Xenopus tropicalis: one gene and its partner. The protein of the gene in region 1 purifies or fractionates together with the protein of each later gene. This does not show direct contact. Links are inferred from orthologs where the notes say so. Each region holds a gene or a part of one and is shown in the gene's direction. Other genes may lie near its edges. The genes, in order: klf11 and sin3a.

Region 1 (4,385 bases):
TCACCTCTATGGGTAGCCAACAATAGCATCTCTTTGGGTATGTGAGTAAGAGAGTCAGTGAACTGAAGGCCACTTCCTAGGATGCCATGAACAAGGATGAAACATAAAAGCACACATCACAAAATGTAGTGACCTTTGTTCTCATGGTGTATAGAGAGCCAAGCAGGCATGATATATAGAGAGCAACTAACACTATGTAGAGGCAATTAGGCTGAAAGCATGATATATAGAGAGCAAGGCAGGAGGCTATTTGGATAGCAGCACTATGTATAGGCGGTTAGGCTATAAGCATGGTATATAGAGAGCCAGGCTGTACGGATTGCAGCACTATGTATAGGCGGTTAGGCTATAAGCATGGTATATAGAGAGCCAGGCTGTACAGATAGCAGCACTATGTATAGGCGGTTAGGCTATAAGCATGGTATTTAGAGAGCCAGGCTGTACGGATTGCAGCACTATGTATAGGCGGTTAGGCTATAAGCATGGTATATAGCAGCACTATGTATAGGCGGTTAGGCTATAAGCATGGTATATAGCAGCACTATGTATAGGCGGTTAGGCTATAAGCATGGTATATAGCAGCACTATGTATAGGCGGGTAGAGCTATAAGCATGGTATATAAAGAGCCAGGCTGTACAGATAGCAGCACTATGTATAGGCGGGTAGAGCTAGCAGGGAGGCTATACAGATAGCAGCACTATGTATAGGCGGGTAGAGCTAGCAGGGAGGCTATACAGATAGCAGCACTATGTATAGGCGGGTAGAGCTAGCAGGGAGGCTATACAGATAGCAGCACTATGTATAGAGAGCAGCACGGTGCCTGTGGGTCAGTGGGTTCAATGCCTGCGTTCCATTTGCCTCGCTAAACACGCTTAGTTTAAAGTCCTAATAAACCTGAGACCTTTGCTCTGGGTCAGTGAGTTCGCCCCTTCCCAGCTGCCATGCTGCCTCCCATATATAGCAGCGCAGCCCTACACACACCATAAACACAACGCCTGCCCCGCTAACCAGCAGTGTGTTTGTAGGATTATTTTGAGGAATGTGGGCGGTCCCTGAGTGACAGCCACGCCCCTGCCCCGGACTCTCCCCCAGACGCTCCTCCCCTTCCCAGCGGCACGACCTTTCCCCTACTTTCCATGTCCCACAGTGGAGCCCACAGTAGGGCCCGGCTCTGTCAGACACGTCCCGCCCTGGGTGCATGTCTCCTGCACGAGCTGATCACGCACTAAAGCCTGCTCCCATTGGCTGGCGTGGAGGCCGGCTGCGCTCTCATTGGCTGGGGTGGAGGCCGGCTGCGCTCTCATTGGCTGTTGTCTCCCTTTCCTCCTGGAGCAGCTTTCTGTCCTCACCTAGCTTCCTCCGCCTCCCTCCTCCCCCGGTGCGGCTGTGTGTGTGAGTGTTGGAGCCGGCCCTCCCATGCAACATGACGAGGTACATCCCCAATGCAAAGAAGCAGCTTGTTATTGCTCATGAGCAGCCTGGCTCTGGCGGGCGGCACCGGGACCTGCTGCTCCATCTCCATCCTTTGTTATAGAGTAGGAGCCTCTAATCCATTACTTACGGTCTATCAGAGCCCACAATGCTGACTGTATCCAGTGCCGACATGCAGGACTCGGTAAGGCATTTATCCTATTCCCTTTGTGGGTTTTTAGGCTCTGTGTGAGTAGGTACATTGGAGGGCTTCCTATGTATTTCTAATGATACCCTATATATTTGTATATGGGCACCCTCTTAGTGTTACCCTATTGATGTGTATATAGGCACCCTGCTTATTGTTACCCTATGTATATGGGCACCCTCTTAGTGTTACCCTATTGGTGTGTATATAGGCACCCTGCTTATTGTTACCCCTGTATCCCCTTAGTGTTACCCTATTGATGTGTATATAGGCACCCTGCTTATTGTTACCCTATGTATATGGGCACCCTCTTAGTGTTACCCTATTGGTGTGTATATAGGCACCCTGCTTATTGTTACCCCTGTATCCCCTTAGTGTTACCCTATTGATGTGTATATAGGCACCCTGCTTAGTGTTACCCTATGTATATGGGCACCCTCTTAGTGTTACCCTATTGATGTGTATATAGGCACCCTGCTTAGTGTTACCCTATGTATATGGGCACCCTCTTAGTGTTACTCTATTGATGTGTGTATATAGGCACCCTGCTTATTGCTGCCATATATATGTATATGGAAAACGTCTTAGTGTTACCGTATTGATGCGTATATAGGCACCCTGCTTAGTGTTACCCTAAATATGTGGATATGGGAACCCTGATTGTAGTTACCCTATATATAGGCACTTTGCTTATAGTTACCTATATATGGGTACCCTGCTTATTGTCACCCTATATATGTGTATATGGGTACCCTGCTTATTGTTAGGGGTATATGTACATGGGCATAGAGGGCTATCCAAGTACTATCTGTGTGAGGTTCATTCTGCTGTGGGTATATATAGTAATCAGTGTATGGTTCCTAAGTATATTATCAGGATAAGTCACCCAGCAACAGTTGTTCAACTACAAATCCCAGACCCCTCAGAGAGCTGTACGTAGTTGAGCAGAGGAAGGGGCCACAGGGTGGGCACCCCTGGGTGTATGGGTCCCTATGTGTGTGTCCCACTGCCCTGGCAGTGCTGTTCTTGCTGTAATGGCTGCATGCAGACGTGCATTGGAGGAGCTAATGGTTACAGTGGCTGTTGGTGCTGGCTCTGTACAGCCTGTTATGCTATGAGGCAGCTGAGAGGGATGCAATCAGGCAATTGCTGCGTGGTGCTCCTAATATGATATAATCTGACTGGGGGCAGAAATCGCTTCAGTACGTTCGGATGTTTCATACAATGGAACTGTTAGTGGCTTCTGCCCAGTGATGAGAATACGGGCTATTTCCTACACCGGATGTCAAAATACCTGCTAGCGGGTACGGGAAATCGCCCTGCTTCAGCGTTATCCCCTCAAGCGGCTTCCAGGCGAATTTTGACTTGAGAGCCAGCCCCTGTGCCGCTTAGGCACGCCCCCTCCACTTCCGGCTCCTCCCCTATTCGCATGTGCCCGCCCTCTTCACATGGCTATTTTAATGCATGACGTCTTTCGGTGCTATATTTGGCCCCCGAAGCACCGCCCCCTTGGAGGCAGGGCTAGAGGGTGGGCGGGAAGACTAAAGCTTGTTGCGTTTTATTGTTTTTGCGGATTGCTGAAAGTGACAAAGGGAATAAGTGTGTGTATATGTGCTATAGGGCTCTGAGAGAGCAGGCATGGGTACATTCTGTGGGAACATTACAGCGCAGAACTCCCACTCACTGCTCAGCCTGAGCCCCGCACGTACAGAAAGTGACAAACATCCTGTGAGGAGAGGGGCGCCAGTCAGCTGACCTGCACCGAAACTGAACGGGGTGTGGCCTCGCCAAACAGCATCTCCTCACTTGTTTGTTACAATGGTCTTGTGACTGTGGGGAGATACCAGTTACAGAGTGGTGCCGGGGTGCCTGTGAGTGGGCTCAGTCTCCTGTAGGGGGCGTTGGGTTAAAAGAAATATCCCGTTTTCCTTGTAGTTGGGTTACAATGAATTAGAGTAATAATCACATTTTATATGGTAAAACCCAGATCTGGGATGAGGAATATGTGGCTGTGCAAGAACTATAACTCCCAGAAGCCCATGTTAGCCTATGTATATAGTGCTGTTAGTATGGGGTGGAACATGAATGGCTTCCCAAGTAACTCATTGTGTGATGGTTCTATTTGGCTTTTATCATGTAACAACTCCCAACATGCTGTATATACAGAGGGGGGAAAGGTGGCCTGTCCTCTACACTCGGGAGACATGCAGAAATATAGGGCTGGGAAAGTTCTATATTCATATTAATTCCTGTGTATCCCCAGCGCTTCAGCTGCACAATCAGCCTGGCAATAGCAGGAGCAGATAGTCACAGCTGGTGTCTGACATTTTGCTTCAATTTAGACAGTTTTTTTTTTAATGATAAGGCTGTTAAGGGATTCTGGGAGTTGTAGTTCAGCATTAGCTGGAGTGTAGATGTTCCTGTTAGAAGCGATCCCCCGCATCTGGACAGGTATCAAAGGTCAGGGGTTGGCCCCTTCTCTGCTGCCATAGACTACGTGCCATTATGAAGGAGAAGGGAAAGGGGGGGGACGGGTCACATGACTTTGCTCCCTCAGTAATGAGCAGTGTTTTTTTAGGTAGAAATTTTGCCTCCTGCACTAATCCAGGCTGCCGGCAGCACATTTAGGGGCGCAGGCTGCTGGGTGGCAGGGCATGTAGGGGCGCAGGCTGCTGGGTGGCAGGGCATGTAGGGGCGCAGGCTGCTGGGTGGCAGGGCATGTAGGGGCGCAGGCTGCTGGGTGGCAGAGCATGTAGGGGCGCAGGC
Region 2 (3,820 bases), on another chromosome or scaffold:
TGACCCAACCCTTTGCCATGGTCCTTCTTAAGGTCCATCCTTTGATCAGGCCCCCCCTTAGCTCAAGAAATGAGTACAGATCTAAGAGAAGTGTATCAATAATTCAGGATGGCATGCATATTCATCCCAAATGTCATCCTAATTGACCTTCAAGTTGAGCTTTCAGGTGTATTTGTGTTATAAAGGAACAGTTAAATAATGAACCTTCATGAAATAAACACTTGCATGCACTAAACTGACAATTTATTTGCACAACACAAATCTTTTTAAAATATTAAAAGTATTTGACACACAATCAGAAACAGACCTTTTTTTTTGTCCACTTTGTTAATTACTTCTGAATGCTCATGTAAAGGGAAATTTATTCTCACTTTTTTTTCTTTAGGTTCGGAAGGCTCTGCGGAGTGGGGAGGCATACGATAACTTCTTGAGATGTCTGGTGATCTTTAATCAAGAAGTAATTTCCCGGTCAGAGCTAGTTCAACTGGTGTCCCCATTCCTAGCGTAAGTTATAGATTGGTATTTATCATGAAGTAAACTTAAGCTACAACCCACAACATGTCTGTGTTTAATGGGCATTGTTTGCACATCTTAATTTTCATGTTTTTATTGGCAGTCATGCTCCAGCATCATAAATCATGTCTGTTTCATTGCATTGATAAGATGATTAAAACATGCTAACTATACAAAGAACATATGATCACACTGATTTTCAGTTGTTTAATCCAGATAATTTAGGATTTGTGGTAAAATAAGTTTAAAATAGTAAGTAATTTCTTGTTTGCTGCAGTAGAAATCTCTTCCATTACAGCTACATTGTGGGGTGGTTCTTTTAAATATTTAGTTAAACTTTTGTTATTTCTTCTCTTCTTTTATGCATTGTTGACACTTTTTTTCCCTCTTCCCCAATAGTAAGTTCCCAGAGCTGTTCACATGGTTTAAAAATTTCTTGGGTTACAAAGAGTCCTCACATTTGGAGAGTTTCCCTAAAGAGAGAGCTACTGAGGGTATTGCCATGGAGATTGACTACGCCTCATGTAAGCGTTTGGGGTCAAGCTACCGAGCCTTGCCCAAAAGCTTCCAGCAGCCAAAATGCACTGGCAGGACACCACTCTGTAAAGAGGTAAGATCCTTAGGGATAGGCAGTGTTTATGAATTAACTATAATTAAGACTGTGTATTCTTTGCATCAGATGTAAGGGTTTTGCCACATGGAGACGCACGTCTAGAATCCACCCCTGCTTTTCAAAAATATTATTAATGTGCCTGCACCTTGTGCTATTTTGTCAGCCTGGGTGCAGGCATGTGAAGCGGAATTCAGTGCGAAACTGCATACTACAGCAGTTTTGAGCCATATTCCATTACATTTTCCTGCATCCAGGCTGTTGCAGTGGCTTCGGGTGCATGCACATCAGTAAGATTTTTCAGGTGCAGGCACATGGAGGGAATTCGGTGCAAAACTGTTTGAATATGCAGTTTTGTGCCTTATTCCACTCCAGGTGCAGGTACATCAATAAGATTTTTTGAGCGTAGGGGTGAATAAACACAGGCCGAGAATCTGCCCTGTGTGGCAGAGCCCTATGACTTTCATACACAACCAGGGAATGTTAGAGAAGATCATTTAGGCTGTTTTCTTAGTTCTAAGATAATTTTTACTTCTTACAAAGAAAATGTGACTATAAACATACAAAAAAAAATATGCTCACCAAAAAAGTGTATCAAAGTTAATCAACCATGCACTACATGTTTTGAGCTTTTTCCCACAAATGACAGTGTTCTAAACTCTGTTGCTAAATCATTAAGACCGCTTCTCATCTTTGTATCTGGGGGGGTGGGGATTGTTAGATTTCTTGAAGTTCCCCCAAACAACAGTGATGTTGCAAAGTAAAAGACTAAATTAAATCCTGCCCATTTGTATGTAAACCTAATTTCTTCTTCATTAATAGGTGTTGCTAAATGCATTTATCTTGAAACACCTTTTTTTTTTTTTTTTTTTTGATAGTACTAGGAATAAAAACTTTTGCTTGTTATATTTGATATCATTAAGAGATGCTGCTGAGAATTGTAGAAATGTAGCAGATTATAATAGTCTGCACCTGACATACTGAGCTGCTTACTGAGCTGCTAGTCTAAAAGAGAGAGGAACATTGAAATACAAACATTTTAGAAAACAAAAAAAAAACTAAAAATGTTTTTTTATTTTTGGTGTAGTATCTGAAACAAACCAAATTGATAAATTGTTTGGAAGGTGAACAAAACCAATGTAGGTCTTTCTTTCTAAAATTTAAAATAATTATGAAATTAAAGCTATTACCCAATTTGCAAAACTTATATAGCTTAATAATAACTACCTTTTTTTCTGTGCATAGGTTTTAAATGACACTTGGGTGTCTTTTCCTTCCTGGTCAGAAGACTCTACTTTTGTGAGCTCTAAAAAGACACAGTATGAGGAACACATTTACCGATGTGAAGATGAGAGATTTGAGGTAAGAGTGTTTGTTGAATTATCATGTTATTTCTTTATTACCTTGACATGTTTAAGATTTTATACTATCATTTATTCTTTTTTCTTTCATCTTACATTTCTAAAAAGGTGCTATATGTAATCAGTGCAGAGTCATGGAGAATCTGTGTTTTTTTTTTTTTTTTTTTTACCAAATCATTTTACTCTTGTTAATAGCTATTTCTTTTAGCAGTGATATCTGAAACCCACATGTATTTCTGTAACATGTTAAGTCTTGACATCATCATAAATTGTAATATGTGTTACCTGTGAGATAAGCCTTTCATTTTACTGCTGCGAAGCCAGCTTCTACAATGTTTGTGGGAGTAGAATAGTTTTTAATGCATGTCAATAGAAATTTGAGTGGAAAGGGATACATTTAAAGGGATATTAAGAGATCTATAGTAACTAACATAGTAACAATTTTCAAAAGAAATAAACACACAAACCACTAATTTTAACCATGGTTAGAGATCCAAACGTTCCCTTTTGATACATGAAAGAATTTTTGAATCCTTTATTTCCAGTAGACAGTTGGTACTGTCTGTAATTAAAATTATTGATCTGGTATTCTCCATTAGTTCAGTGCAGAAATCGTTACTTCTACTTTTGGCTTAAAAAAGTTATGTATTTGAATGCACACAAAAAAAAAACACAATTATATGTAATTTTACCACACAACATTTACTGGTACCTATCATTGCCTTCCAGTTAAAAGCAAAATATAATTCTCTGTTACCTTTGTCAGTTGGATGTGGTTTTGGAAACCAACCTGGCTACCATTCGTGTTCTGGAGACTATCCAGAAGAAACTTTCACGGCTTTCTGCAGAGGACCAGGCCAAATTCAGGCTGGACAATACACTTGGAGGAACATCTGAGGTCATCCACCGCAAGGCTCTGCAGAGGATATATGCAGACAAAGCTGCCGATATAATAGATGGTCTAAAGAAAAACCCTGCTGTCGCTGTACCCATTGTTCTAAAGAGGTAAGTGCCTTGCAAATGTGATTTCAAAAGGTCAATAAAATGCTAAACAGAGTTGGATCATATAAGGGCAATAAAATGCTAAGCTGCCTTTGGGGACTTTGGTAAGGACAAGCAGGGGAGCCTGAACTGCTTTGAAATGTCAGGATTTGTCGGGAAATGTCAGGATTTGGGTGGATCAGAGGCAGTGTTAGGTTGAGATTTACCAATATTCAAGTTTCATTTTCTTTTCGCGGTTCAAAAAAAAAAAAATTCAAATTATGTTTTAAAAACCCGAACGTCTGGTATTAAATTTAAAGTTTGGCATCTGAGTTTCTATAGAAGTCAGTGTGAG

The links.
Region 2: the proteins of klf11 (region 1) and sin3a purify together in Homo sapiens (affinity purification with western blotting, with the first as the bait; 3 studies listed by BioGRID). This does not show direct contact. The link is inferred for Xenopus tropicalis from reciprocal best matches to the Homo sapiens genes KLF11 and SIN3A.

Annotation. Positions count from the first base shown.
Region 1 is NC_030681.2:138,138,971-138,143,355, forward strand, and holds the start of klf11 (Krueppel-like factor 11), read left to right. Parts: upstream 1-1,438; 5' UTR 1,439-1,604; coding exon 1,605-1,616; intron 1,617-2,801; exon of another isoform or gene 2,802-3,490; intron 3,491-4,385. UniProt on the Homo sapiens protein: Transcription factor. Activates the epsilon- and gamma-globin gene promoters and, to a much lower degree, the beta-globin gene and represses promoters containing SP1-like binding inhibiting cell growth.
Region 2 is NC_030679.2:93,407,698-93,411,517, forward strand, and holds part of sin3a (paired amphipathic helix protein Sin3a), read left to right. Parts: intron 1-385; coding exon 386-504; intron 505-912; coding exon 913-1,123; intron 1,124-2,368; coding exon 2,369-2,485; intron 2,486-3,250; coding exon 3,251-3,489; intron 3,490-3,820. UniProt on the Homo sapiens protein: Acts as a transcriptional repressor. Corepressor for REST. Interacts with MXI1 to repress MYC responsive genes and antagonize MYC oncogenic activities. Also interacts with MXD1-MAX heterodimers to repress transcription by tethering SIN3A to DNA.